7 linked regions of the Neurospora crassa OR74A genome follow. The protein of the gene in region 3 purifies or fractionates together with the protein of the main gene of each other region. This does not show direct contact. Links are inferred from orthologs where the notes say so. Each region holds a gene or a part of one and is shown on either strand. Other genes may lie near its edges. The genes, in order: NCU11175, NCU02511, NCU03764, NCU06217, NCU00981, NCU00404 and NCU01524.

Region 1 (4,061 bases), on a different chromosome or scaffold from region 3:
TATCAAAAGCACACTAGACTTAGCTTGAAGCTCAATTACATTTAGAAACTCAACAACAACAACAGAATCGTGCTCCTCACATTTACTTTCTCCTGCCCTTGCCCTTACCACCCTTACCAGCATTGCCGCCCTTCTTCTTAGGCCCAGCAGACCGTCCCACCTTCTTGACGACCTTCTTGAGGTTCAGCACCGCGCCCTTACCGGCTCTCTCGGCGCTGCCCTTCTTGTATGTCCTCTCCTGCTTGCGCTCTTGCATGGTGTCGAGCTTCTTCCTGTCCTTGTTGCTCAACTTGCCCTCGTTCTTGGACTTGAGCTTGTCCCTGACGCCGTTGAGCTCGGCCCGGCCCGCCGCCTTGGCCTTCTTCTTGTCCTCCTGCGTCTCGAACCACGTGCGCTTGGGCCTCGAGCTGATCTCGTCCTCGTACTTGATCATGTTCTCGCCCTTCTTGACCTGCATCTCCATGTTCTGCAGCTGCTTTTCCTCCTTCTCTTCCTGCATAATCTCCTCAATCTCATCTTCCAACTCGTCGATCTCGGCCTGCCACTTGTCGGCGTCCGCGGGATCGATGATGCGACTGCTGATCTTGGCGCCCTGAGACTTGCCGGCCTTGACGGCAGCCTTGACGACCTTGCGATCGGGCTCAGCAGCCAGGGTAATAGCGGTACCGCTGCGGCCCGCACGCGCTGTACGACCGACACGATGGACGTAGATCTCGGGGGTCTGGGGAGCCTCGTAGTTGATGACGGTGTCGACACCCTTGATATCAAGACCACGTGAGGCGAGATCGGTGGCAAGGAGGAAGTTGACCTTTCCATCTCTGAAGTCCTCGACACTTTGAATACGCTATGGATCCTGTTAGTATCACTCATCCATCTGGAGCATCGTAAATCGTAAACATACCTGAGCCTGGTTCATGCTACCGTGCAACTCGGCGCACGACAATCCAAACAGACCAAAGATGATCCTCATCTTGTGCGCAATCTTCTTTTGTCTGAAGAAGATAATGACACGCTCCGTGTAGATAGTCTTGCAGATGTGCAACAGATATCCTTCCCTCTTCGATTCGCGACCGGGTCTGAGACGGACAAACTCTTGAACAAGCGTACCGGCAGTCTTCTTCTGCGAATCGGCCATGATGCGCACAGGCTTGTTGAGACCGGCGCGAATGAGCCTGTCGACAGACGACGTCATGGTGGCAGAGAACAGCATGGTCTGGCGGGACTTGGGAAGGGTGGTAAGAATCTCGTTCAACTCGTCCGCGAAACCGTCCTCGAGCATGCGATCGGCTTCATCGAGGACGAGAATCTCGATGGTGTCGACGGCGAAGCTGGCAGAGTTGCGCATGTGATCGATGAAACGACCAGGAGTGGCAATGACCACATCCGGGCGAAGACGGAGCTCGGCCTCTTGCACCTTCAGACTGAGACCACCGACAGCCAGACAGAACTTGATGTCGGTATGGCTGGCGAGCTTGACAGCGACAGCGTGACACTGGATAGCCAACTCACGGGTGGGCGTAAGAATAACGACGCGGGTGGTGGGAACCTTCTTGGGACGGTAGAGGAGACGCTCAAGGATGGGAACGACGAAGGCGGCCGTCTTACCGGAACCGGTGACGGCACCACCGACGACATCCTTACCCATAAGCGAAATGGGGATGGTCTTGGCCTGAATGGGCGTCGGCTTGGTGAAGCCCACGGAAGTAAGACCGCGAAGGATAGGACGGGAGAGAGACATCTCCTGGAACGAAGACATCTCGCCCTTCTTCTTAGGCTGATTCTCCTCCTCCGGCGCAAAGAACTCCTTCATCTTGGCCTCCTCCTCCTCATCAATACCCTCTTCATCATCCGATGACTGCACATCATCAGGATGCTCAACGGCCGTAGCAACCGAGTCATCATCCGACGCATCGCCCTCGTCTTCATCCTCTCCCTTCTTCTCCCCATCTTCACCCTCACTATCCTCATCCTCCCCATCAACACCCCCCATCTTCGCATCCTGCTTCTCCTCCTCCTCTTCCACGTCCGACCCAACACCCATACCAAAAGCATCGTCAGCCAAGACACCATCCTCATCATCATCCAAATCCACATCAATCTCTTCTATGTCGTCTTCTTCCTCATCAACCTCCATCTTATCCTCCTCCTCTTTTGTCGCCGTGGTTTTCCCCTCCTTAGCAGCCTTCCTCTCTCTCCTCCTTCTGATAATCTCATCGATATCCACAGCCTTCTTGTCCCCGCCCGCGTTGGCGCCCTTCACAACACCCTTGTGCGCGCCCTCGAAACCCCAGCCGTCGAACTCGGCGTCCACTTCGTTCTGGCCGTCGACAACGAACTGGAACTCGGTATCCATGGCGCCGTCGTCTTCGTCGTTGTCGCCCCAGATGCCGAGGTCGGCGGCGTCGTCTTCTTTTGTTTCGGCTTCGTCGTCGTCATCTTCAGTCTGTTGCTGTTTCTTGGACTTCTTGTTGTTCTTCTTCTTTTGCTTGTTCGATTGTTGTGTGGCCGTCTTGGCCTTCTTCCTGGGTACAACTTCTTGCTCCTCTTCTAGTGGGATGTCTTCTTCATTGTCGGAAATGGTGAGGATGAAATCGTCGTCGATCGCTTTGCGCTTTTGGGAGGGCGCCATTGTGGTGGATGGTGTTGCAACGGTCTGTGACCGTTGTTTGTTCTGTAGTGTTGTGTTGGAAAAGAGAACGACGGGAAGCTCCCGATGCTGAGTGGGAATTGGTGGAATCGTCAAGATTGTACAACTGATAGCAGTCAGTGGGGTCTTTTTTCGTCTCTTCCTCCGCCGCAGAACGAAAGGGAAAACAAAAATTTGGGAACCATGCCCGTCTGTAACTTTTTCTGCCGGGCGGTCAATGTGATTGGAGGATCTGGGGATCTTATCAGTGGCAGCTGGTCGACAGCTGCGGGGATGGGTACGTACCATCTCAACTATCAAGTGAGTACCTGCCGTCTTCGGGAGCAACTCGTTCAACACCACATTGTCCCAAGAAATTGAATACGCGTTCATGTTATAGAGCCAGAGGACCTTGTCCTTACTACAGTAGGACTATATTTATACTTGTGCGGGGCATATGGTCCAGCTATTCTCAACGCAGATGTATCAGCCCGTATTATATGATGATACTACACAGGAGTCATCTACCCCGTCGATACCCAAAATGAACGCCAGACACCTTGCCAATGGTATAATGCTAATCCTCAAACCTTCGCCTCCAAAACATCAGTTGCCCACAACGTAACTTTCTTCACATGGACCGCCACATTATCACTCGTGCTACCGTGTGGAGAAGCTCGCCGACGCTCCAAGGAAGTCCTGGTCATGCCCCTGGTCCTGCTGGTAAGTCTCCTTCTGCTTCTGCTTCTTCTTCATTTCAGCGCGGATTCGTTCTTTCTGCGCCTTCAAATGCGCCATTTCAACATCATCCAGCAAGAATTTCTGCTCATCGATATCCCTTCCACGTCCGGACGCGGATGCTTGCGGGTAGAGAGGGTCTCGTTGATATCCGTCACCTGGCAATTCGTGCTCAACAATATCCCACGTAGCATGATAGTAGCCATCTTTGGTTGGTGGCAGCTCAGCATGCGCCCTTGGCTCCTCCAGCTTACGGATCGCGCCGCTTTCCATTGCAGCGTACTCCTCTGTCGATGCGTATGGTGGTAAAGGACCGTTATTACTGGCGCTCGGGAGATCAATGTCCTCCCATGGATGTCTCCTTTCCATCAGAGATGCGGGTTCGCCTTGTAATTCAACTCCTCTAGGTGGTCTTTCAATCATAGACTCGTCGGGAGGCACTGTAGGCGAAGTCACAGCTGGAGTGGGCGTTACTCGGTTGGGTCCATATGAGACGATTAATGGGGGCTGTGGCCGTTGGGTTTGTGAGGTTGTTGGGTTTGGTCGTGGGAGCGTAGTAGGAACTGAAGGAAGAGGAAGATGTGGTGTTGAAGTTGGAGCTTCGGTTGGAGGAGGGGTGGTGTACTGTTCGTAGTTGTGGTAATCGGGGTAATAGCCACCGAGAGGTGCTGCGGAGGCCGCAGATAACTGGGGCAAT
Region 2 (4,279 bases), on a different chromosome or scaffold from region 3:
TACCGCGGTCTTTGGAATAGAGCTGCATGGCGCCAACAACGCGGCCCTGCTGTTGTGAGATACCGACAACAACCATCCACTTTCCGTCGGCGCTGGTCCGATAATTAATTATTTGGTTGCCCTGGAGATTAGCATTACGATCGAAGACCTTGACCGGAGCGGGCTGGTTCGGGTCGAAGACATCCCAATGGTAAACAGAGCCATCTGTGATCAAGCCAAGCGTGGTCTCGCTAACCCACTTCCAGAACAAGACATCCTCGCTCATGTTTGTCGACTTGAGCTTGGCCTTGTTTTCGAGGTCGAAAATCTGGAGTGTGCGCGCCTGGGCCTTGAGGGCAATTACTTGGCGCGTCCAGTGCATTATGGCACTGTCGGCCTTGATGGGACGTCGGATAACATTATTGCCGTTCTTGAGATCGACGATGATGACTTCAGGGGACGCTGCCTCGTCCTTCTTGTCGCGAATACACACCCAGTTGTCCGATTCTAGAGTCTGGGAGCGGGGGGTTCACGTCAGCAGGGGTGCCAGAGGAGGCGCGACAACTGTCACTAGCAGAGTCAGAGCAAGGTGAGGACAACGTACACAGGTATTGAAAGTGATGGCAGTCTGGTTGATGCCGAGGGCGCTGAGTTGCAGCAGCTCCTGGAATTTGATGGGTAGGGCCTGAGCCATGATGGGCGGTGGTGTTGCGCTAAGCTGCGCGCAGAGTGACGAAGATTAGCAGCCAACTTATCAAAAGCGGCTGGAAGGTGAATCCGCTGGGAAGTAGAAAGATTGGGGAAATGGAGGCTCGTGAAGCTCCGTGGACTGAATGGAATGGCGGCGACGTGAAAGGAGGCGGTGGTGGTGGTGGTTGGTTGTACTTTGGGGGGAAAATGACCGAGCTCCCGAGAAATGGGGAGGGGGAAAGAGGACGGATGAATCAGGTAGGTAGAGGTAGGTAGGAGGTTGGAGGTGGAAGGATTAACGCAAGGTCCAGAAGGCAGGTACGCAGTAAAACCCGCCGCCAAACTGTGGGTGAGAGGTGAGTCGCGATTTGCCGCTCAGTTACAGATACGTAAAGTAAAGGCGAGCAGGTACCTCGATGTCACCTCACTTCAATGCTCCAGCAGAAAGAATAGAGAAGAATCGCGGTTGTTGAAGGATGCAAAGCAGCAAGAGGAGACGTCGTTTGTTACGGGAAGTTAGTACCGTGAGAGATGAAAGATACAGCAGGAAAGATGGAAGGTGCTGAGGTGAGATGCCTCTCCAGCTGTCCAGTGTGTTTGTACATGCCGCAACTGTTCAGCGCAGACGGAAGGTACCTCTAGTACCTCTCAGGTTACCTGCCTGCTTTTGAGTGATGTGTTAACACGGGACCTCGCGGCCGGGGCGTCCACCGCCCACCGGCGCCGGCTCCATTCAGTGCTTCCCCCTGCGTCGGGTGCGCCTAGACCAGGCGGCAGGCGCCTGCCCGGGAGGCCTGCCTGCCCCCTTCGCTTCAAGCTGTCCGCCCGGTCCAGGTTGCCCGCCCTCATCCCGTCATCCTTCTACTTTCCTTTGCCCGCATTGATCGCCTCTCCTGCGAGGTCCGTCAGACGGTCCTTCCATTTCCTACCTCTAGGTACCTTATACCTCCAGGCCGCCTGCCTCCGGGGGCGCCGTTCATGCCGGGCTCCAGGGGCAGCTGTTCCCTACTCCAGAACAGCCCAGCTCCAGGGGTAGCGTCAGCTGTTGCTACAGGGATTCCGAACTTGGCCCAGCTTGACTAATGTGGGGCACTGACCAATGGCTCACCTTTTGGGACCGCAGTGAGGTGGAACCCGATTTGAGGAAAGAGACTTGGCATTGCTATCGATAAGCTTTTTCAGAAAAGAAAATCGACCCGGAGAAATATCCACAAGCGCCTGTCGATGGTGGGCTATCAGTGTTCAAACCAACCCCAACAACATCCCAATCACCACCAGACGACCAGCAATACCATCAAAATGGGTGTCGGACGTCGCATGCAGAAACAGGGCCCTCCTGAGCCCCTCTCGGAGGAGCACTTCGCCAACCTCAAGCGCAAGAAGGGCATTCCCTTTGACGAAACCACGACCGAAGTCGACACTAGAAGATCCAAGAAGCAGAAGATTGTCAAGAAGCAGCCCAAGACATCCGGCTCCAACACTGTCGCAGTCAAGGGCGCCAAGAAAGAGGTCAAGGAGGTGAAGAAGACTGGCACAAAGCCCGCCCACAGGTCCAAGGAGTCCAAGAAGCCTAAGAAGGCAAAGCAGCCTTCGCCCGATCATGACGAGGAGATGGACGACGAGTTTGGCGCGTCCGACCTGGAGGGCCTTGATATCGACGGCGATGAGATGGACGTTCAAAAGCTAGGAGACGATTTCCTCGGCACTGACGACGACTCGGTTTACGATTCCGACCAGGACGGTGCTACCAAGAAGGAGGCATTCGTCTTCTCTGACGATGAGGATGACGAAGAGGATAGAGAGGAGAAGCTCACAGCCGCCAACATCGAGGGTCTTTCGAGGAAATTGGATATGCAAAGAGAGAAGGAAGCAGAGGAGAACGAGGCCGAATTGCGCGACGAGGCGCTCCAGACCAACATCGCTGGTGGTGATGACCTCGGTGATGACGACGACCAACTTCAGACTAAGACCAAAACTTTGCTGGCACCCGATCTCCAGATGTTGAGAACGAGGATAACAGACGCCATCCGTATCCTGGACGACTTTTCGAATTCGGCGGAAGAGGGCAAGAGTCGCGCCGAGTACACCAGCCAACTCATCAAGGATATCTGTGCCTGTAAGGACCCGATGTTCCTTGCGCAATACTTCTCGTGAAATGCACAAATGTTAACTTCAGGTTTTGCCAGACTACGGTTACAACGAGTACCTCGCTGAAAAGCTTTTGTATGTTTTACAACCTGTCGCATGCCTGTCTGCGGCGATACCACCAGTGGGGAAACTGTCTGACTGTTTGTAGCAACCTGTTCCCTCCCAGAGAGGCGTTCGCCTTTTTCGAAGCCAACGAGAGTGCCCGCCCCGTCGTTATCCGTACAAACACCCTCCGAACACATCGCCGCGATCTTGCCCAAGCACTCATCAACCGCGGTGTCACACTCGAGCCTGTAGGCAAGTGGTCCAAGGTCGGTCTGCAAGTCTTTGACTCGAAGTACGTATATTCTAAATCAGGACTACAACGACGCGATTCATGCAAATGGCTAACAACTGGGGCATAAAGCGTTCCCCTCGGTGCCACGCCTGAGTATCTGGCTGGTCACTACATCCTCCAGGCCGCGTCTTCGTTCCTGCCCGTGATGGCTCTCTGCCCCCAGGAGGGTGAGCGTGTTCTCGATATGGCCTCTGCCCCCGGTGGCAAGACCACCCATATGGCGGCGTTGATGAAGAACACCGGTGTGATCTTTGCGAACGATCCCAGCAAGCAGCGTGCCAAAGGTTTGATCGGCAACATTCACAGACTGGGCGCAAGAAACGTTATCGTATGCAACTACGATGCGCGTGAGTTCCCCAGGGTCATGGGTGGCTTTGACAGAGTCTTGCTCGATGCCCCATGCTCGGGCACTGGTGTCATTGCCAAGGATCCCTCTGTTAAGACCAACAGAGACGAGAAGGACTTCCTGCAGCTCCCCCATCTCCAAAAGCAGCTTCTCCTGGCTGCCATCGACTCGGTTGACCATGCCAGCAAGACTGGTGGTTACGTTGTCTATTCGACGTGTTCCGTTGCCGTTGAGGAAAAGTGCGTTTTCCATATCGTTCTTAACTGTACTTTCAGAAGACGCTAACCCAAGATTACAAACAGTGAGCAAGTCGTTGCCTATGCGCTCAGCCGCCGTCCCAACGTCAAGCTCGTCGAGACTGGCTTGGCTTTCGGCAAGGAAGGCTTCACCAGCTTCATGGGCAAATCATTCCACCCCAGCCTCAAGCTCACCCGCAGATACTACCCCCATCTTTACAACGGTACGTTTCGCCTCCTTATACCCCCTTTCCCTCCCTCCCCTCCTTCATCACTAACACAACCCTCCAGTCGACGGTTTCTTCGTCGCCAAGTTCCAGAAACTCGGCCCCACGCCCGCCACTGCTGTCCGCGCCAACGGCGTCGACAAGTCCAACAAGCCTCTGGACGGCCAAGCTTCCCAGGAAGCCCAAGAAGTTGTCGACAAGACGCCCATTGGTGCCGAGTGCGAAGCCCAGGATGACTTTGGCGGTTTTGATGATGGTGAGGACAAGGAGTACATGGAGCGCGCTAAGCGCAACGCTATGCGCAGGAGAGGTTTGG
Region 3 (3,417 bases):
TTGGGCAGGAGCAGGAGCAGGAAGGTGAGGTAGAGGAGGTTGAGGGTGAGGAGGTAGATGAGACACAGGCAGAGGTGGAGGTAAAGCCGAAGGAAGAGAGCGTGGAGGATGTGATGAAGGCTGCGTTGGAGGCTGGGGATTTGGACTTTGATGAGGAGTTGACGCTGGGCAATAGCAGCAGTCAAGCGACGGTTGATGAGGAAGAGGTGGAGAGGTTGAGGAAGATGTCGAGAAGTCACTGAGCCGGCTCTCAAGCTGCTGGTCGAGTGCTGAACAAGAAAGGAAAGATGTCGACGATGCACCTATACCCCGAGACCGACTTGGCTACTTTTAGACGTTGGTAGATGAACCTTGTATAATCCTCAGAACAACCTGACTGGGCTCTGCAGAAGCCATCTAGTCTATGCTCCAGGTCAGTACAGTTTTCGCGTACAGTTTAGTTCAGAAAGAATCTGTCACGGCTGTTCTTGGCCTCGTCCCTGCAGATATCACAAAAATATCCTGTACAGTATTCACATTCCATTTTATCTATCCTGGGTATATCATAACAACCAAGTTCTGCTGCTTCCCTTCTCTTCATCAACAACCCCCTCTTTCCCGACCATTTTTCTTCCTCTACTCGGCATTCACACCCCTCCCCTTATTAATCTGCACCTTCTTATCCTCACCACCGCTGAAGATGCCCAGCTGATCCCACACCACGCTGAACACCTTGCACCCGTCGCCCGTCACACTGCTCTTCTTCTTCTTGCCCTGCTGGCTCTCGCGATCAATAACGTACACGGGCTCGCTGACGCTGCCCATGCCGCCCTCGTCCTTGGTCGCTGGCCGGACCGACCGCAAATCCCAGATCCGGCACGTCCCGTCGTGCGAGCCCGAAACCAGTGAGTACTCGTTCTCCGGGTTCGCCGCCAGACTGACCACCTTGTTGGCATGCCCACGCAGCGTCATGACGCTCGTCGCGGCCGTGCTGGTGCGCGGGTCGACGAGGGTAATGTGTCGGGCGGAGGTGCCGCAGGCGAGAAGGGGCGCCGAGGCCGAGGAGCGCGGCAGGGCAGCGAGAGAGAGGAGCGCATGCGAGGTTGTGAAGGTGCTGACCACGCTGGAGGTGGTCAGGTCGATGGTCTTGACGGTATGGTCCTGCGACACAGAGTAGGCAACGGTGCGGTCGCGGGGGTCGAAGACGGCGGCCGTGGCGGGCGCATTGTGGATGTTCATAAGGGCGAGCGGGCCGCGCTGGGCGGCGGTGACGGAGGTCGCGAGCTTGCGGCGCTTGGATGTGTGGGCGCCGGGAAGGAGCGAGGAATCGGAGACTTCGGGCGCGGACGCCTTGGAGGTGGTCCAGAAACCGATGGAACCGTCGGCGGAGGCAGTGAGGATGCGCTTCGAGGCGCCGTCAACCTCGAGCGAGTCGATCGAGGAGGTGTGGCCGTACAGTTCGAGAGTGGGCTTCAGCTCGCCGCGACGCTCGTACGACTCGCCCGACTCGGTGTACTTCCATACGCGAACTGTGCGGTCCATGCCGGCCGAGGCAATCTGAGTGCTGGAGAGGAATTTGGCAGCTTTTATGCTGGCAGTGTGACCACCGTGGCTGCCCGAGGGCGAGGTGCCAATCACATTTCCAGAGGCGTCCCATATCCTGAGGAGACCGTCGTACGAGGCGGAGAGGATGCGATCTTGGCCGCGCTGAAAGTTGTCGCCGGACCAGCGGCCCGCGGGAGAAGTAGCGGAAAGAACATCGACGGCGCTGACCCAGTCGTCGTGCTCAAAGCTGGCCTCGTATGTTGGTGGGATCAAACTGCGAACGTACTGAAGGGTGATGTTGGTTTCGAGCGAGAGGCCGTTGGCGTTGAGGTACTCTTCAAGACTGCCGCGGAGGAAGCTGCCGTTAACAAGGAAGTCGAAGGGGATCGAGTTGGTGTCGAGCATGGACTCGGAGTTGAGAATACGGGAGAGGCCATAACGGCGGATGTCGGCGGGGACAAGGAGCTGGCGCTTGCTCTCATCGAGCTGGATGTCCTCCTCCTGGGTGGTGAAGGTCACCCGGACCTGGGCGCCTGATTCGGTAGGGTGGTCCATGGCGGTGCCTGTGCTGTGATATTATGTGAATTGGGTAGTCGCTGTTCGGTATGGGCAGGCTGAATACTATCAATTGACAAGTAAAAGTCAGATTGGCTTAGATTACCGTGAAACAGGCGTCGTCGGGAGGAGAGTGTGGATGTTTACTTTGCAGCGGACACCACAAGGCCATGCCAAATCCAAGACTCCATCCAATTTTTTCTGTCCAGCCTTGCAGCGCAGGGGTCTGGAGTGTTCTAGCTACCCCACGTTCCCCTATCTTATCGGAACTTTATAGCGGGGCCGACGGTTCCTGTGAGGGTCACAGTGCTGAAGCGCCGCTACTATGTAAACTATACTAGTATAGAGTAGTACCGGTCATGTACCTGGCTTAATTGAACCCACTGGAGCTACGCGTCTCGAAATTGTCAAGCGCGTCGTCGAGTTTCGTCCCTTGAAGTCAGTTTCCGAGTCGGGCAGCACATGAATAAGTCACCAATTGCTTTTGTCGTTCTCACATCTTGAGCCATTGTCAGTATCAATCATACGATGGTCACCTTGGACGAAGTTCTCGGTAGCGGTTTGCTACAGAAGCCCTCGTGAGTAGCAGTGGATCATCCATCTTCCACTGGCGATCATCAGCTAACAACCCAACTTCACGAAGAGGCGATGCGCCCGAGGCTCTCCAGCGCCAGATCACCAACTACAAGCCCCTTCATACCTTCAAACTCGAAAAAACCCGTCCCTATCAACAACAATATGCCGATATTTACTTTTTGCGTCTTACAAAGATCAGGCCCGCCGTCGAGGCAGCCGCCAGCGCCGCTTGGGAGGGAACAGTGCTTGGTGGTGAGAAGGTCAAGAGGGTCGAGCGTGTCCTAGACGTTCGCCAGGGAGAACTATGCTGGGTAGCTGGAACAGTATATATGGACATGCCTCTAAAGCCCTCAATCCTCGAGGATGTCTCCAAGGATGTGAGTTTCAGCCTATCCTTTGGTGGACACCAGGCAGCTGACAATGATGTTATAGCGCTGGATCTCCGCTCCCACCTCGGTCGGCCACTACTACTCCGGCAACGGCGAAGACTCGGTAATGCTCGAAGACGACTCCGGCCGCATCCGTCTTGTCGGCAACGCTCTGCAAAACCACTTCATGGTGACCGGCTGCATCGTCGCGGTAATGGGCACCGAGAACGCCAACGGCGAATTCGAAGTCATCGACCTCCTCTTCGCCGAACTACCACCACAGCCCGAGCGCTGGTCGCTCTCAAAAGGCAAAAAGGAAGCAGACTCCTCCGAAGACGTCGAAATGATGGACGCCTCTTTCTCCAGGCAGTCCCACAAGCCCTCCTCTAAAAAG
Region 4 (4,097 bases), on a different chromosome or scaffold from region 3:
GCGAGAAAAACAAAGCAGGCAAACAGGCGTTCTATTATATAATAATAGCATGTAGAGGGCGTACAATATTATTGAGCGTTGTCTTGGTTAAGAACTGCCAGCGAAAGAGTTCACGAGTGTCCACGGCGGAAATAGACTGAGAGGTGTTGGAAAACGCTAAGGGATTGCTTTTGATCGTGATAAAGGTATACTTAGATAGCAAACAGGAAAGGCCCTAAGAATAACATAAATGGTTTAACATTCCGGGCCAGCAGCAGAAAAACACACACTCTCTCCCTACATTAGGTAAACTCCAAGAGCCCAGGCTTATTTCTTGCCCCTAATGTTAGCCTTCTTTTTCCTCTGTTGCCTCTTTCTCGCCAGGATCTTGGTCATGAGGGCCTCCTTGACCATCTCACTCTTCTTGCCCTTCTTATCCACCTTGATATCTTCAGCCTTCACCTCCTTCGCCGGGGCGGCGCCTGCGGCCTTGGCCACCTCAGCCGGGCCCTTCTTATCCTTGCCCTTGTTCCACCCAGCAGGCTTCTCAGGCTTAGCGCCCTTCTTCCTATCCGCCTTCCTTCCAGCCTTGTATGCCTCCTTGGCCTCCTTGGATCTCTTCTTTTCCTCCATCTCCGCCTTCCTTTCCGCGGGCGTCATCGTCCTTTGCTTCTCCTCATCCTGTCTCCTCCGCTGCACCACGTTCGCGTTCTCGATCGCGAACTCGACAATCAGCCTTTGCGTCTTGCCCAGCTCGTTCTTGACGGCAAACCCGTTCAGGTAGCGCAGGCCCATGAGCGCCCAGCGGTGCGACGAGTACTCGATAAAGCCGTAGCCACGCGACTTGCCGCCACCGACCTTTTCGTCCACCTTGGTGCCCGTGGTCGTCTCGAACACGATCTTGGCCTGCTTGACGACACCCTTGCCCTTGAGCTTCCGGAGGCGCTCGTTCTCCTTGTCTTGCTCACCACCGCGCGAGTTTTCTTCCTTGGAGATGGGCGCGCGCTTGCCTTCCTTGACGTCCTTGGCGAAGCCGACGACGGCCTGGCGCGCGAGCGCCTTGAGCTCCTTGGACCCGATGTTGCGCGGCAGGTTGCGCAGCGCGAGACGGGTGAGCGACAGGTGCAGCGACGGGTTGGACTGGATCAGCTTCTTGCGCTGGTTGGCCGACGCTTCGCGCATCTTGATTTCGGCCGGGGTAAGGACCTTGAAGAGCGTAGACGAGGGTGTGATTTGGCCCTCGTTCAGGAGGTACAGGCGTCTCTTGTCCTTGTCCTTCTTACCGGCCGAGGCCTCCGCGAGACGCTCGGCTTCGTCCTTGGAGACGGCGTGGGCGACTTGAAGGATGCGCCCGTCGAGCGTGTACTTGCCCTCCGGATCGACGGTCTCGTCTTGAAGGATGGAGTGCTTGACGAGTGTGGTGGTAGGTTGATGGCGGGGGGCGCCCTTGAGGCAGGCCTTCATCTCCTCCTCGTTGAAAAAGCACACGAAACCGGTACCGGCTGGCCTGTCGGTGGCCTTGTCCTTGACAACTCGGGCGTATCTGATGCCGCCGAACTGGGTAAAGTGCGCCTTCAGCTGCTCATCGGTGGTGGTGTATGGTAGGTTGCGAATGAAGAGTGTTAGAGAGTTGTCGGTTAGCCGCTTGGGCTTCTGTTCCTCCTCCTCATCCTCCTCGTCCTCCTCGTCCTCCTCGATATCATCTTCGTCCTTGTCCTCATCGTCTTCATCCTCGTCCTCCTTGTCCTTGTCTTCGTCCTCCTCGTCTTCACTCTCGAGGTTCTCGCCTTGGCTCTTGAAGAAGTTGTAAAGATCCTTTTCCTCCTGTGTCATGCCAGCAGTCTCCTCCTCCTCTGTCTTCTTGTCCTTGGGTTCCTTAACCTTCTTGTCCTTTTTCTCCTTCTTGTCGTCTGACTTTTCGCCGTTCTGCTGGGCCCATGTCTGCTTATCCACGGCCCAGTCGACGGCCAATGGGCGGCCATCGACCTCCATGCCATTGACGGCCTCGATAGCCTTTTCGGCATTCTTGCGACCACGGAGGGTGACGAAACCGAAACCAGAGAGCTTGCCCTTATCGTTGGGCAAGTCGGCGAACCTGACCTTACCATATGGCTTGAATAGCTCGGCCAACTGCTCAGGCTTCTTGATGCTCCATGGCAGGTTGCGGATGATGAGTTTGTTGGGTTTCTGGGCCTCGGCGACGGCTTCGGCACGTTTCTGCTTCTCCTCGGCGACCTTGGACACAACGGGTCCGGTCTTCTTGGCATCACGGTGTCTGGCTTCGGCAATGTCGAGCTTCAGGCGCTTCCCTTCAAGCAGGTAGTTGTTGAGCTTGGCCTTGGCCTCGAGGGTATCCTCGGGATCGGTGAAGGTGACGAAACCATAGCCGCGCGAGGTCTTGGTCTTGGGATCGAGGACGACGGTGGCATGCTTCACAGGGAAATGTTGGGAGAAGAACTCGGTCAGAGACTCGGCGGTGGCACTTGGAGGCAGCTGTCGGATGAAGAGAGAGCGGTTGGATTCAACTCTAGCTTTCTTGCTTGGGGGGTTCTGTGCAGCAACATCGGAATCCTTGATGGCATCGGGATCAACTGGGATCTCCTCGTCCACCTCGCGTTGGCGCTTCTTGTTCCCGTCCTTGCCCATTATTGCAAGCAATCGGGTTGTTATGTTATGTGTTTGTTAGGTGGTGTTGTTGTTGAAAGAAGGGGAGAGATGAGAAAGCAGCCAAATCAAACCAAAAGTGAAGAGAACAGACCCTCTCAAGGCGCAAATGGTGGATGGGAATCGCCGAGTGCACAGCTTCCCCCAGCGACAACAGTTCTGGACCCTTCGCCCAAAGAAAAATATTCGAAGTGGAGTCCCGATAAGAGCGTACAAGGGAGCTTATCGTTTCCCTCAAGCTTGGCAGCGGGATCCTGAGCCCGTCTCTTCCACTTCCTCTCTTCGCGCGCTTCCACAATCCACACCAAAGGAAAGGCGGGGCGCACAGACCATTCAAGCTCACCAGCAGGGTCGATACGTTTTGCGACATACAGCGCAGCGAGCAGCGCGACCCCTCTGCAGCAGGTCAGACAGTCCCTCCCGCTAGGTGACGACGGGGCCGCCAGGAAATTCACAGCAGCCCACCTGCAGTGCAAAGTAAACAAAACAACCTTCATTCGCGAATAGTGTCACTTTCATTCATCCCCGGCTCCTGCTCAGTTGCAAAAGCCATCCTACGAAACCTCACATCCGTCTTTTTTTTTTGCTTGTTTTCTTATATCTTGGGCTTGGATTACTTGTACCTTTTCCATATCGCATACAAATAGAGGACTGCCGCTGTGCAGGCCCCGCTAATACCAACAGTCATTGCCGACCATGGCGCCGGGCAGATCGACGAGAGCGACACGCGGGGCGCGCCAGACCTCGGTCGTACCAGAAGCACCCTTGGATACTCCCGACAATGCGCTACGCACACAAGTCGCGACCGTCTTCGGCGACGCCCAAAAGACCACGGCATCCCATCGCAAGCTGGCCGTGACCCTGCGCAAGATACAAGAAGCATGCTGCTACGAGCCGACGAGTACGAAGAAGCCCGCCGAGGCCGACGAGTTCGAGGAAGATGACTTCAACAAGGAGTTTGTACGCTGTGTCCTGCGCGTCATGCCCATCAAGAAGAGCGAGGGAGTCGGCGAGAAGACGGTGCGCTTCATCGGTCTGTTCCTGCGGCATGCCGTCGAGAAGGATAACGAAATTCTCGGCGAGGCCGACCCGGACGCCAGCACCATGCCCGAGACACCCAGCACCCGGCTTACCGGACACTTGATGGAAACCGTTCTTCCCTTGATGATCGCCAAGGACAAGTTTGTGCGCTATCGGTCAACGCAACTCATATCTCATATCATCAACTCCCTCGACGCGATTGACGACGACCTCTTCCAGAAGCTACGGTCAAGTCTACTTAGGAGGATTCGCGACAAGGAGGCCATGGTCCGGGCACAGGCTGTGCTGGGTCTTGGACGCTTGGCTGGCAACCAGTTCGAGGGCGAACCGAATTCCGACGATAGCGACGATGATGGATCGACTGGTCTTCTCGAAAAGCTCCTCGAAGTCTTGCAGAACGACCCTAGTGCCGA
Region 5 (3,576 bases), on a different chromosome or scaffold from region 3:
TTCCTGCGCTTTCCCGGGGCCATTAAAGCTAGGATCCCGAGACATGGGCAAATCGCTTCTTTATATCGCTTCGAGTAGCTCTTCGTTGGTACGGTATCAGCGTTTCGTTGACCGTTGAGTGGTGGCAAGTGGGCTTGAAGAGTACAGAAGTTACTCGTCGGTCTGGATAGAAAATACCTGCTTTTGATTCTTGGAGGCTGGGTTGACCCTGGAGTGATGAAGCTCGGAACTGCTCTCCTTCTAAAATCAAGATACAGAAGACAAGCTAGATGCTCTGAGCTGATGTAGAAGTCAATGTGTTGCCCTTGCGTTAGTTGCTTGCGGTGTTGCATGTCAAATCGACCAGCAAATTTCCATCGACTCAGGATGCAGGGTTCCATACAGCCATTTAGACCTTTGTAAGGTTAATCGCTTGCCAGCATAGTCTGCTCGAAACCCATGGGAGTCAACCTAGATCAAGCGCAGCAGCAACCAGAGAAGATATATCTATGTGTCTTATCGTATTAATCCATGTCTTCTAAACCATCAGGTGATACAATCAACCAAAACAAATGATCGGAGGGTATAATGTTCTACCGCAGATTGTGTGTGTATCTTAACCACTATACTACCTAAGTGAACCCCCGGACGAGATATTTTGCGCGGCCGTGAGTGTCGATCCTCTTTCAAAACACCAGACGCCAGTCCCAGATGCAAAATCAGATTTAACGCAATCCCGTTACAGTTGCCGCCCAAGAGACTAGACATATAATTAGACAAATCAAACCATCACCCTCTTCACTCTTGCGCTTAAACCAGGAGCACAGCGTTCAAGCATCCGTCGTTCTGGTGGAAGTTAAGTATTAGCAGTTCGTCCATGTAAAGTTAAGAGGCGGGGTTGTGCTGGTCATACCTCAGGGTTGTTGGTGATCTGCGCATAACGACCCCAGGCAATTTTGCCCGACGCGGTGACCATACCAAGATCGGAAACGTTGACCTCGATAATAGTACCCTTGGACAGAACACCAAGCTGGGTATAAAGGGGGTTGCTGGGGTTCTTCTTGACGCCGAGAATGGGGAGCTGAACCGTGACATTGAGGGTAGGGTGGGTGACGTTGGCCTTCTTGTAACGGAGACCCATGGGCCGGATGAAGCGTTCGTACTTGACTGGGCGTCTGGTGAAATCGGGTCCGACGAATGTTGGCTTGGTGACGACGCGCTTCCAGCCCTTCTTGTGCACCTTCTTGCCCGTCTTGACGACCTTGAAAAGCTCCTCTTCGCTGATACCCTTGACCTTGGGAATAGGGACCGAGAAACGAGCGGCCTTCTCGGCACGCTTGCTCTTGATCTGGGAACTGCACGAAGAAAACGGTCAGTCTCTCGTCATCGTATGGGACCCTTTCCAACCTCCATGACTACTGCCATCATTGCATTCACATTGGCCTCCACCTCCGCCGCGGCCGTTCGCTTCTCATGTGTCCTCCCATTCAAGTGACGTACCTCAAAGCCTTCGCACTCGTGGGGTTCGAACGGTCGAGCAGATAAGCGGGAACGGGGTTCGAAGGGTCCTTCTCCTCGGGGGCGCCCTTGACATTGCGCTCCTCGTGCTGCTTGATGGCCTTGCGCATCTGGATCTTCTGGGCATGACGCTCCTTGGCAAAGAGCTTGGCCCTCAGGCCACGCAAGTTCTGTGCATTCTCGCTCTGCTTGTGACCCTCACGGGCAGCCTTCTTGCGTGCGCGCTCCTCGGTGTCCAGACGCTTACCGTGAAGCTTCTGGGCGCGTTCTGCGAAACGAAATAATTGGTTAGGGACTGGAAACAGGTCGACGGTAATCAAGATCGAGTGCGAAGGGAACTATACCGATGTATTCGTTCTGAGGCTGTATTCAGGAAAACGTCGGTTAGCATGGTCTGCTCTCAAGTGATCGGAAGGGGTCATGATGTTGAGGAGAGTGGCTGTGGATTGGGAGGGCAATTCGAAGAAATGATATCCGTACCATATTGGTGTTTTAGGCCCTTTGAGGGTCTTGCGGTTCAAGATATGTGGCGACGCAATCTGGCCTTCAGATGTTGTAGGGCGACGAAGGGCGACGAGAATGACGATGCGGTTTAGGTCAATATGCTTCAGTACCTCTACCTATGCGAATGCCTGCTGAACGGACGTCTTGAAGCCGATAAAAAAACCATTCAAGGCTAGCTTTCCTTATCGGGCGGCTCCTCCAGTGGCGGAGACCCGTAAAGAGGTGGACATAGTGGGGCAGCTTCATCACCTGTCATTGGTTGATATCTACTTAACAGCATGTCCAGGAAAACGTGGAGTGGGTTCGGATGAAGGTGCCTGCCAGCTGCAGGGCATTGGAAGTGCACCGCGGCAGCCAGAGCCGCCCGTTGAGGACGAGAACCTTGATGGAAGGCCAGTGGACAACTTTTGTATAGATCCGGAGATCACCTTACCATTCGTAGAATGGCTCCTGCAACTAGGTTATTACCAAGGGACACTAGTTGTGTGGCTCGCATAACCCGCTTCAACGAGCACAGTAGGTATGTCAACAAAGGCAAAACCCAAAGACGTGGTATGCTTGGGGGTGTTAAGATATCTAGATATGCTACACCGTGTCATGACAACCTATACTATAATTCGTCCGACGGGCTCTATTGCCAGCCAACGCCCGCCAATGAAACCGGAATCCGTGCAAAATGACTAAACTCCAGACGCTGATGCAAAATGTTTCTGGGTGTCCGTCCTGTCTTCCAGCCAACGCCATTGCAAAACCGTCTCCAGAAAACGAATTCCTGCCTTGAAATTATCACGATGCGCCGAAACCTTCCCAATTTAGAGGCAAAAGAAAGAAGGAGACACGCCACGCAACCACGACATATCAGCGGTCTCCGGCTCTGGACTTGAGTTTTGCAAGTGCTGCCCGCTTTCTTTCCTCCTTCTCGCGCTTCAACCTCTTCTCCAGCGCCTCCTGCTCCATGTCTTCTCTGCGAGCCTGCAACTCTGCCCGGCGTTCCTCCGCGTCGATGTCGGACAATCCCGCCTCCATGTCTGAGTCATCCTCTTCCAGTGACTCGTAACCACCGCGACGACCATAGCCGTAGCCATCGTCCTCATCTTCGTCGTACTCGATGAAATCGTCCAACTCTTCATCCTCCTCCTCGCGTCTCCGGGGACGTGAGAATGAGGCGCCATAACCGGACAGCCCACGGCCCCTACTTGCGCCTGCCGAGGTGGATGCTCCTGGTTTTGTGGTGGTGGCCCCTGGGCGGGGACGTGCCGTGCCTTGGTATCCAGTCGTCGCTAAAGCAGCCTTCTTTACCTTCTTCTCCTCCACGGCATTTTGGCCTGTCTTGGACTTGGCGCCAGCCGGGGCTGAGGGGGTGATACTCCGCTGACGGTTCGCAGTCGTGCCGTTGGTACCATTGCGGGTTGGCCCAGCTGTCACACCGCTCCTCCCGGTAGTCGGTGGCCTTACATCCTTCTTGCCCTTTTTCGCTTCCTCGGCCTTTAATTCCTTGCGTTCCTTCAGCGTCAACTGCTTCTCCACCTTCTTGTGCTGAATCTTTCCAACGGATGACAGCATGGGCTGATTGGC
Region 6 (3,663 bases), on a different chromosome or scaffold from region 3:
TTCAGTCCATTTCTCCACCCCATCCTTCCAATTAACCCAGCTCTCCTTCGCAACCTTCCACTTCCTCACCACCTACCTGACCGTCTTCCTCCTCTCGCGACCTCCCCTCTCGCTCTTTGTCCTCGCTCCATCTCTCCCCGAGACACTCCCCTCAGCGTGGCCATGTCCCTCGATGTGATCCTTCCTCATTGGCTAATAGCTTTTAATTCTGTAACCTTCTACCAAATCGCTTGGATCTTGCTCACGCCAATCGTGGCGTGACGAATCACGTTCTCTACCACTCCGTCTTACCCGAGAGAGCCATGTTGGCTTTGGTCCCAGCTTGTCGTGTGCGGGGTGTGGATAGTCAGTCATTATGATATCCTATCTTTTACCTCTTTCAACCAAAACCGTACCTGGTTCAGCAACAGATCAAACCCAAAAGCAAGTCGAAATCATAACCCTCTAGGGCATCCTCTTCTCACTTCTCGGCATCCTCGGCTCGTCCCTCTACACCATCTGGATCGCCCACTATCACCGCAACTCGGCGGCATCTCCAGCTTCTCTTGCCGATGATACTGAGCAGAATGGCTGAGATTTCGTTGCTGGGTTAGATATCCAGTGGCTATGCTCAAGGAGGAAGCCAAGAAGGCTGGTCATAAATCGTAGAAAGGGAGAGGAAACCGGCGGTACATGCACAGAAAATAGGTAGTCTTGAAGTACAGTCATAGTGACCTGATGTTGATGAATCATGCCTTCCTCCCAAACCCTTTTGTGAACCGATAACGCCACATACACACTTTGAACAAGACAAATACTCTCCAGTGCCAACAGAGACGATGGCATACTGAAAGAAGGGTATCACCAATACTACTATCATGATCAGCCCCCTTAGAGGTTGAAGCGCGTGCGAACCTTCTCCATCTTGGCCTTCCACTCCCACTTCAAAGCATCCTCTCCTTCGCTGCCAGCCCGACCGATACCCTTATCCACTCTACGAAGCTTGAGAGTGAATCCTATCAAAACAAGTCAGCCACTTTCGGTTCATTCGCCAAAACTTTTGTTTTCCGCGGTAGCAAGACTTACTGGGTCCAATCTCCTGCAAACCAGCACGGATACCCTGCATACCCTCCATCTCCTTGCCCTCCGCAGTAACCACGTTCTTCTCCGTCGTGCGGGCCTCGCGGAAGACGTAGCGGTGGCGGCGAAAGAAGATGTAATCACGCTGGTTGTGCAATGTCACGACCTGGCGACCCGAAAGCTCGGGCCTGGGAGGGAACATGGTGTGCATGGATTTAGCGGCGAGGATACCGAGAGGGGTCTTGAATCCATTGAGGAGAAGCTCGGGCTGTATTTTTTTTTTGGTTGCAATGCTTAGTCTCAATGTCCTGTAATTAATGGACTTGGGGATTAGGATGGACGGCTTACGTAGTGGTTTGTAGGGTTACCGTGGCCAAGGAGAGCCTTTCCAGGCAGGTAGTTCCGGATGGTGTATGTCAACGAAGGACCAGGGGCAACATCTTCGCCGTTGAGATGGATGACGGTCAGGGAGCTAGGCTTCTTGAGATCTTCGCCGACAATCATGAGAATCGTGTATCCACGGTCTGTAACAATTCAGGCCTGTGTTAGCAATTTTCTCTTGGGCAACAAAACTCCAACCTGGGTGCGCTACTCACTCTTGGCAAACTTTGCGATCTCGCGAACACTATACTTGTGTCCATACGCGTGCGCACTGCGTCTGATGTACGTGCTGTTGGGAAAGATGGCAGCAATGTCCTCCGCCTCCTTGTGAATGGTGCCGTTCAAATGGGTGGTGACCAGAATCTTGGGGTCGACTGGGGGTTCCTCGTTGAAGAGATTGGGAAATTGTCGTGTGAGCGAGTCGGGAGTCATGTCTAGATTTGTCGACGTGGTCGAGGGAGCGATGCTGGGTTTCCTCTGCGCACGCTCCTGTCTGAGTCTCTCGATGCGCTCCTCGGCATCTTCGTCGTCGTCGTCACCCTCCTCGTCCGAGTCCAACATAGAATCGGCATCGTCGTCCTTCTCCTCATCCTCCTCCGTGACTCCATCGGCTAGCCTGGCGGCCTCGGCCTCCTCCTTCTCCAAGCGCCTCCTCTTGAGCTCGGCAACATCCACAGCGACGCCCAGGCTGTCGTCGTCAACGTCATCCCACACGCGTTTCCTCTCAATGGTCAAGGGTTGGTTGTTTGCGAGGCGCTCTTCTCTGAGTTTGGGATCCTTGGCCTCCTCCTTCCTCCGGCGGTGACGCTCCTCATGGCGTTCCTTTCCCTGCTCCTTCTTTTGCTTGACGTATAATTGCTTTCTGACAATCTTGTTGGAGGTCTTGAGCGACAGCGATCCGCCGGAGCGGTTTTTGCCCTTGTTACCGGACGGCATATCGGCTACGATGTGGTAACACGGCGGTGGGATTAGTGGTTGTCGCGGTGTCAAAATTGTAGGGTAGGATCAATTCTCCAGGTCACAGTTCAAACTTCGACGTGATGCTGGGCAGTTGTTGCTACCTCTACCTGACGGATGAATTGAACGGGCCCGGTAAACTTTCAACTTTTTTTCTGGGCCCAGAGCCATCAAGGGCGCCAAGACGTGCATCTACAAGGGTACCCCAACAGCTAACGCACGGCCTCAGCCGGGGACAGGTACGTACCGCTACCCCTCAGTGTACACTACTACCTGACTGTCACCTGCACAGGATGACTCCATCCCGTCCCTTGCTGTAAGTTGGGACGGAAGCAGAATTTTTGGGATGAAGAACGGCGGCATCACGGACTCTTGATAATCAAATATCAATACCTCTAGCCGATGAAAAGTCACAATAACGCTAGCCAGCGGAATGCGCTTTCTGTAAGGGAGTTACTTAGGTAGGTAGAGGTAGTGTACAGTAGCATGTGCAGTTCCACTTCCTGATATGGCTGGTGGATTCCAGCGAGTCGAGCCTTCTGTCGCGTACCGCGCCGCCACTGACGGCGGCTCGAGAGCGGGAATCTGGACCGCTGTCCCTTGGCTTAGGTTGTCTGGGTCGTTGGTGCCGGCCCCTCCATGGCGCCCCTCTACCCCCCCAAAGAAAAAAATCATCCCGCGATTCGGTTGAAGTACGTGTTTCAATTGAAAAGGCCTCGACGAAACCTCAGTGGGCGACCGTGACTCACTTGGTTCCCTTGAGCACTGTAACAAGACCAATTCATGCGACCTCTTGCCCGTCTCGCCTCCCTCCGTTCTCCTGTTGCTGGTCAAGCATTCAAATCGACCTTATCCACCCGAGCCGTCGCCAGTCGAACTTCTTGGACCCCGGCGCCCATCCCGCGGATCTCTTCGACTTCGCTCCGATCCTTCTCCCTCTCTACCTCGCACCATCGCTTCCAAGTCTACGTCAAAAAACAAAACACCAAGATGACCTCGACGGCCACCACCCTCAAGGGCCAGCCCCTCGACAAGGGCGCTCTCGAGTCCATGCTGCGCCGCCGCATGTTCTTTGCGCCCTCCTTCGATATCTACGGCGGTGTTGCTGGCCTCTACGACTATGGCCCGCCCGGTTGTGCCCTCCAGGCCAACATCATCGACATCTGGCGCAAGCACTTTGTCCTCGAGGAGGACATGCTCGAGGTTGACTGCACCGCCCTGACCCCCCACGATGTTCTCAAGACCTCCGGCCACGTCGACAAGTTC
Region 7 (3,776 bases), on a different chromosome or scaffold from region 3:
AACAAGAGCGATTTGCGGCATCTGAGAGCCGTACCCACGGAGGACGCCAAGAAGTTTGCCGGTACGTTGCGCGTCACAGCCATGATGACATGGTCGCTTGGGAAAGCCGTATCGCCAGGATGACTGACAGAGAGAACTGCAGAGGAAAACCACCTATCCTTTATCGAGACTTCGGCTCTCGACGCCACAAACGTCGAGCTTGCGTTCCAAAACATTTTGACTGGTAACGTTTGCCCAAAGCCTACAGCTGCTGCTCTGGCGCGAGCCTACCGCTAACATGCGATCATTTATCTAGAAATCTACAAGATCGTGTCGACCAAGAACTTCGACAACGGCCCCAGCGGGTCCAACGAGGGCCACCAAAACCTGTCTGGCCAGAGCATCTCGCTCAGTCAGACCGCGAACGACCCCCAGGCGAAGTCTGGCTGCTGTTAGGAGGTGCTTGATTCTCCGGGCCGGGAACCGAGTGGCCCTGAAGGGTTGAGGTGCAGGGTGCAGCAGAGTACAACAGGGTGCCGAACCAACAACGGCGTCACATATGTCTGACATGAAGCAATGGAGGCTTATGATGAGCAATGAAGAGCAGCATCGGGGGAAAAGTACGGACGGATCCTGCCCAGTCTTATTACATCACGGTCGCCGATGGGATGGTCTGTTTTTCTTTTTCTCTCTATTTTTTTGGGCTTTTGGGGAGGGGGGAAAGGATCATGATGCTCGTCTTCCAGCCTTTCCTTTTTGTTGTTATTACTACTACTACCCCTTTCTTCCCTTTTCCCCCCGTGCTGGTCGTTGGAATTTTCCTCAATGTGGTTAACGAAGCCATCACTTGCGCATGGATTACGAAAGATATTATTTAGTTGAAATGAACTATGGGCGATAAACAGCCCTTAACTCAACCTGGTACATATTGCTCCACGTTGTCAAGGTCTCCATCTATTGCATCCACAATGTGGGAGAAGAGGAGTACCTCGAGAGTGAGTACCTATGTAGCGATAATCGTGCAGGATCTCGTTATGACATTCAAGTTGATTATGTGCGACAGCGGGAAACAGTCAATACAAATTAAGACATCTGGGCTTGCCTGATGGATTATGGCGACTGTCCCTCATTACTCCCATCGCGTCACCCGAGGCGGTTGAAGTGGGTTTGAGTGCGGACAAGAGGCCAGTCCCGTCCCATCCCCCACTGTAGGGCAGACAAGAAGAACGCGTGGAACTTGGACAGTGTGTGTAGGCAATGGAATCCCCAGAACTTGGGGGTCCGGATTCCAGGTTGGGTCCATCAGTGGGACAAATGCGGGTTGCCCAGACCGCCGACCGCCTTTCAGCTGTTCCAAGCAGGGGGGCCGGAACAGGGACGCTAGTAAGATAAGAGAAGCTTATCGGAGTGGGGCTGCGATTGGCCGGCGAACTTTTTTTGAGATGGAACAGCCTGCACTCCATCACTGCGCTTCGCCCGCGACGTTCGTGGATTGGAGCATTGAATTCACCTTTGCAATCCGCATTCCGTTTTTCTGCCATCACTTCCACCACAACCACCACCAACTTCAGTCACCCTTGTTTTTCGCCCGATTTTGATACCCAAAGAACGACAAGAACAAAAAGAAAATGGCCGCCGTTTACAAGTCGCTCTCGAAGAGCGCCAAGAAGGTCGAGGACACGGAGAACGACAACAACACCACCACCACCAATGGCGGCTTTCGGAAGAACAAGCAGAGAGTTCTGATTCTCTCGTCCAGAGGCGTTACCTACAGGTACATATAGACCCTGCATACCTGCAAGATGGAAGAAGAAAGGGTCAATTGCTAACCGCCTTTGCGCCCCGAGTACAGACACAGACATCTCCTCAACGATCTCGCAGCGATGCTCCCCCACGGCCGCAAAGACGTCAAGTTCGATTCCAAGTCCAAGCTGTACCAACTGAACGAGCTTGCCGAGCTCTACAACTGCAACAACGTCATGTTCTTCGAGGCGCGCAAGGGCAAGGATCTGTACATGTGGTTTAGCAAGGTTCCTAACGGCCCTACGGTCAAGTTCCACGCCCAAAACTGTGAGCACTATCCATATCCGAGATACGCATTGTGAAAGAGGAAAAATCGGGTTCTAACAAAAAGCACAGTGCACACCATGGAAGAGCTTCACTTCACGGGTAACTGCCTCAAGGGCTCGAGGCCACTCCTCTCCTTCGACCTCGCCTTCGAGCAAGAGCCGCACTACCGCGTCATCAAGGAGGTGTTTCTGCAAATGTTTGGCGTCCCCCAGGGCGCGCGCAAGTCAAAACCGTTTATCGACCACGTCATGAGCTTCAGCATTGCCGACGGCAAGATCTGGGTACGCAACTACGAGATCCGAGAAGTGGAGAAGGCCAAGGGCGAGAAGGACAGCGAAGGAAACGACATTGTCCCCGAGAGCGACAAGTCATCATCGAAAAAGAGAAAGGGCGCGCCCAACGCGGAGCTCAAGGACACAGACGTCAGTCTGGTTGAGATCGGACCTCGGTTCGTCCTAACGCCCATCATCATACAGGAGGGCGCGTTCGGCGGCCCCATTATTTACGAGAACAAGCGCTTTATCTCCCCCAACCAGGTGCGCTCGGAGCTGCGCAAGGCCAAGGCGACCAGGCACAACACCAGGGTGGAGCAGGTCAAGGAGAGGCTCGGCAAGCTCGAGACCCTCACGGCCCAGGCGAAGAAGGAGAAGGATGTCTTGGATACCCGGGAGCTCTTTGCTTAGAGAAAGGAGGAGGAGGGGAAAGAGAGAGAGAGAGCTTTTCACAACACGATTTCATCACGTCTGTTCGCTTGCGACACATCAAAGCAACGCACGCCTTAGGTTTAGGGGTAATCAAGGAGTTTTTTGTACTTTTGCTGGCTGGCTGGTTTGGTCTGGTTCGGGAAAAAGAAAGGAAATCGATTTGCATTGTACAACATTACAGTATTCGTGGGGATGTGTGAGACGGACGAGCTGTCCTCTTTTGACAGTTGGGAAAGAGGATCATGATCGAGTGGTAGATGAGCACTCAGCGTATAAGGTGCTGGCTCGAAAACGGACACATCAGATCAAGATTGAGTGATGAACGCCGTCCTGGCTCCGGTCTTGGTCGTGTTGAAAGGAGATGGTCAAAGAAGGGTAGGAGAGCAAGTACTTTGCTCGGCACCTCACTAGCGGTTGACTGTCTATAACCACACTCCTGAGGGAGATGTTGTTCGCATAGGACCTAGACTCTACCTTAAATGCAGTTGCGCTGTGAGATATTGTCTCACATTTTTGCTCCATGATTTGGGTTGTTTCCATATATATAAGAGACACGAGGTGTCTCTTTCGTTGAGTTGTTGGGATGATATCACCACCTTCAGTACACTCCTCAAGGAGAAGAAGAAGAAAAAGTACCATGTTTTGTCCCAAGGTAGCTTTGGGCGACATCGTCCCAAATTTCAGATTTTCTGACGGACTAGCCATCTTCTCAGGGGCTTTGGGTCGTCTAAGTCATGTAGTGTGCCTGGGAGTTGGCGCGAGTTTGGTGCTTCTTGAAAACAAGAGATAAGGACTGGAGCCGATACCTAGGACGTCGCTCCTTAAAGCGAAAGACAAATGGCTTGAGTCTAATGTTGAACACGTATGGCTAACGCTTTTGATCAAAATTTAGAAGCAAAAAAAACGACTCGGAGTACTTTGGTCATGACTCAGGTTCACTCATCGATATCGGAGGAGAGAGTTGAGGATAGGTTGTAGAGGGTTCACTTCACTCATTGTGAAAGTTCGCTACAGGGGACCTGT

The links.
Region 1: the proteins of NCU03764 (region 3) and NCU11175 purify together in Saccharomyces cerevisiae (affinity purification with mass spectrometry; 5 studies listed by BioGRID). This does not show direct contact. The link is inferred for Neurospora crassa OR74A from reciprocal best matches to the Saccharomyces cerevisiae genes YTM1 and DRS1.
Region 2: the proteins of NCU03764 (region 3) and NCU02511 purify together in Saccharomyces cerevisiae (affinity purification with mass spectrometry; 7 studies listed by BioGRID). This does not show direct contact. The link is inferred for Neurospora crassa OR74A from reciprocal best matches to the Saccharomyces cerevisiae genes YTM1 and NOP2.
Region 4: the proteins of NCU03764 (region 3) and NCU06217 purify together in Saccharomyces cerevisiae (affinity purification with mass spectrometry; 3 studies listed by BioGRID). This does not show direct contact. The link is inferred for Neurospora crassa OR74A from reciprocal best matches to the Saccharomyces cerevisiae genes YTM1 and NOP4.
Region 5: the proteins of NCU03764 (region 3) and NCU00981 purify together in Saccharomyces cerevisiae (affinity purification with mass spectrometry; 4 studies listed by BioGRID, with this or other methods). This does not show direct contact. The link is inferred for Neurospora crassa OR74A from reciprocal best matches to the Saccharomyces cerevisiae genes YTM1 and NSA2.
Region 6: the proteins of NCU03764 (region 3) and NCU00404 purify together in Saccharomyces cerevisiae (affinity purification with mass spectrometry; 4 studies listed by BioGRID, with this or other methods). This does not show direct contact. The link is inferred for Neurospora crassa OR74A from reciprocal best matches to the Saccharomyces cerevisiae genes YTM1 and RPF1.
Region 7: the proteins of NCU03764 (region 3) and NCU01524 purify together in Saccharomyces cerevisiae (affinity purification with mass spectrometry; 3 studies listed by BioGRID, with this or other methods). This does not show direct contact. The link is inferred for Neurospora crassa OR74A from reciprocal best matches to the Saccharomyces cerevisiae genes YTM1 and BRX1.

Annotation. Positions count from the first base shown.
Region 1 is NC_026503.1:3,110,112-3,114,172, reverse strand, and holds the start of NCU11175 (ATP-dependent RNA helicase drs-1), read right to left. Parts: upstream 2,801-4,061; 5' UTR 2,630-2,800; coding exon 902-2,629; intron 845-901; coding exon 83-844; 3' UTR 1-82. Other genes in the region: NCU00234 (hypothetical protein), read right to left, coding at 3,287-4,061. UniProt on the Saccharomyces cerevisiae protein: ATP-binding RNA helicase involved in ribosome assembly.
Region 2 is NC_026501.1:2,564,206-2,568,484, forward strand, and holds the start of NCU02511 (S-adenosylmethionine-dependent methyltransferase superfamily domain-containing protein), read left to right. Parts: upstream 1-1,479; 5' UTR 1,480-1,893; coding exon 1,894-2,785; intron 2,786-2,855; coding exon 2,856-2,892; intron 2,893-2,965; coding exon 2,966-3,154; intron 3,155-3,223; coding exon 3,224-3,739; intron 3,740-3,802; coding exon 3,803-3,960; intron 3,961-4,027; coding exon 4,028-4,279. Other genes in the region: NCU02510 (clathrin heavy chain), read right to left, coding at 1-493, 584-673. UniProt on the Saccharomyces cerevisiae protein: S-adenosyl-L-methionine-dependent methyltransferase that specifically methylates the C(5) position of cytosine 2870 (m5C2870) in 25S rRNA. Required for 60S ribosomal subunit synthesis and processing.
Region 3 is NC_026505.1:2,340,292-2,343,708, reverse strand, and holds NCU03764 (microtubule associated protein), read right to left. Parts: upstream 2,274-3,417; 5' UTR 2,080-2,273; coding exon 616-2,079; 3' UTR 501-615; downstream 1-500. Other genes in the region: NCU03765 (3'-5' exonuclease/helicase), read left to right, coding at 1-242; NCU03763 (DNA polymerase delta subunit 2), read left to right, coding at 2,608-2,657, 2,723-3,032, 3,088-3,417. UniProt on the Saccharomyces cerevisiae protein: Component of the NOP7 complex, which is required for maturation of the 25S and 5.8S ribosomal RNAs and formation of the 60S ribosome.
Region 4 is NC_026503.1:1,936,196-1,940,292, reverse strand, and holds NCU06217 (nucleolar protein 4), read right to left. Parts: upstream 2,801-4,097; 5' UTR 2,626-2,800; coding exon 307-2,625; 3' UTR 143-306; downstream 1-142. Other genes in the region: NCU06216 (nuclear condensin complex subunit 3), read left to right, coding at 3,340-4,097. UniProt on the Saccharomyces cerevisiae protein: Required for 60S ribosomal subunit synthesis. Probably involved in the processing of 27S rRNA to produce mature 25S rRNA.
Region 5 is NC_026501.1:6,508,714-6,512,289, forward strand, and holds NCU00981 (ribosome biogenesis protein NSA2), read right to left. Parts: upstream 2,165-3,576; 5' UTR 1,981-2,164; coding exon 1,978-1,980; intron 1,861-1,977; coding exon 1,842-1,860; intron 1,766-1,841; coding exon 1,480-1,765; intron 1,335-1,479; coding exon 893-1,334; intron 826-892; coding exon 790-825; 3' UTR 501-789; downstream 1-500. Other genes in the region: NCU00980 (hypothetical protein), read right to left, coding at 2,860-3,576. UniProt on the Saccharomyces cerevisiae protein: Involved in the biogenesis of the 60S ribosomal subunit. May play a part in the quality control of pre-60S particles. Under normal, rapid growth conditions, high levels of NSA2 would allow the progression of pre-60S particles through the ITS2 processing.
Region 6 is NC_026503.1:3,739,871-3,743,533, forward strand, and holds NCU00404 (RNA processing factor 1), read right to left. Parts: upstream 2,515-3,663; 5' UTR 2,377-2,514; coding exon 1,656-2,376; intron 1,584-1,655; coding exon 1,408-1,583; intron 1,328-1,407; coding exon 1,066-1,327; intron 996-1,065; coding exon 871-995; 3' UTR 501-870; downstream 1-500. Other genes in the region: NCU00405 (glycyl-tRNA synthetase 1), read left to right, coding at 3,181-3,663. UniProt on the Saccharomyces cerevisiae protein: Essential protein. Required for biogenesis of the 60S ribosomal subunit.
Region 7 is NC_026502.1:3,192,924-3,196,699, reverse strand, and holds NCU01524 (ribosome biogenesis protein BRX1), read left to right. Parts: upstream 1-1,456; 5' UTR 1,457-1,607; coding exon 1,608-1,753; intron 1,754-1,831; coding exon 1,832-2,049; intron 2,050-2,118; coding exon 2,119-2,732; 3' UTR 2,733-3,276; downstream 3,277-3,776. Other genes in the region: NCU01523 (GTP-binding protein ypt3), read left to right, coding at 1-61, 143-223, 296-435. UniProt on the Saccharomyces cerevisiae protein: Required for biogenesis of the 60S ribosomal subunit.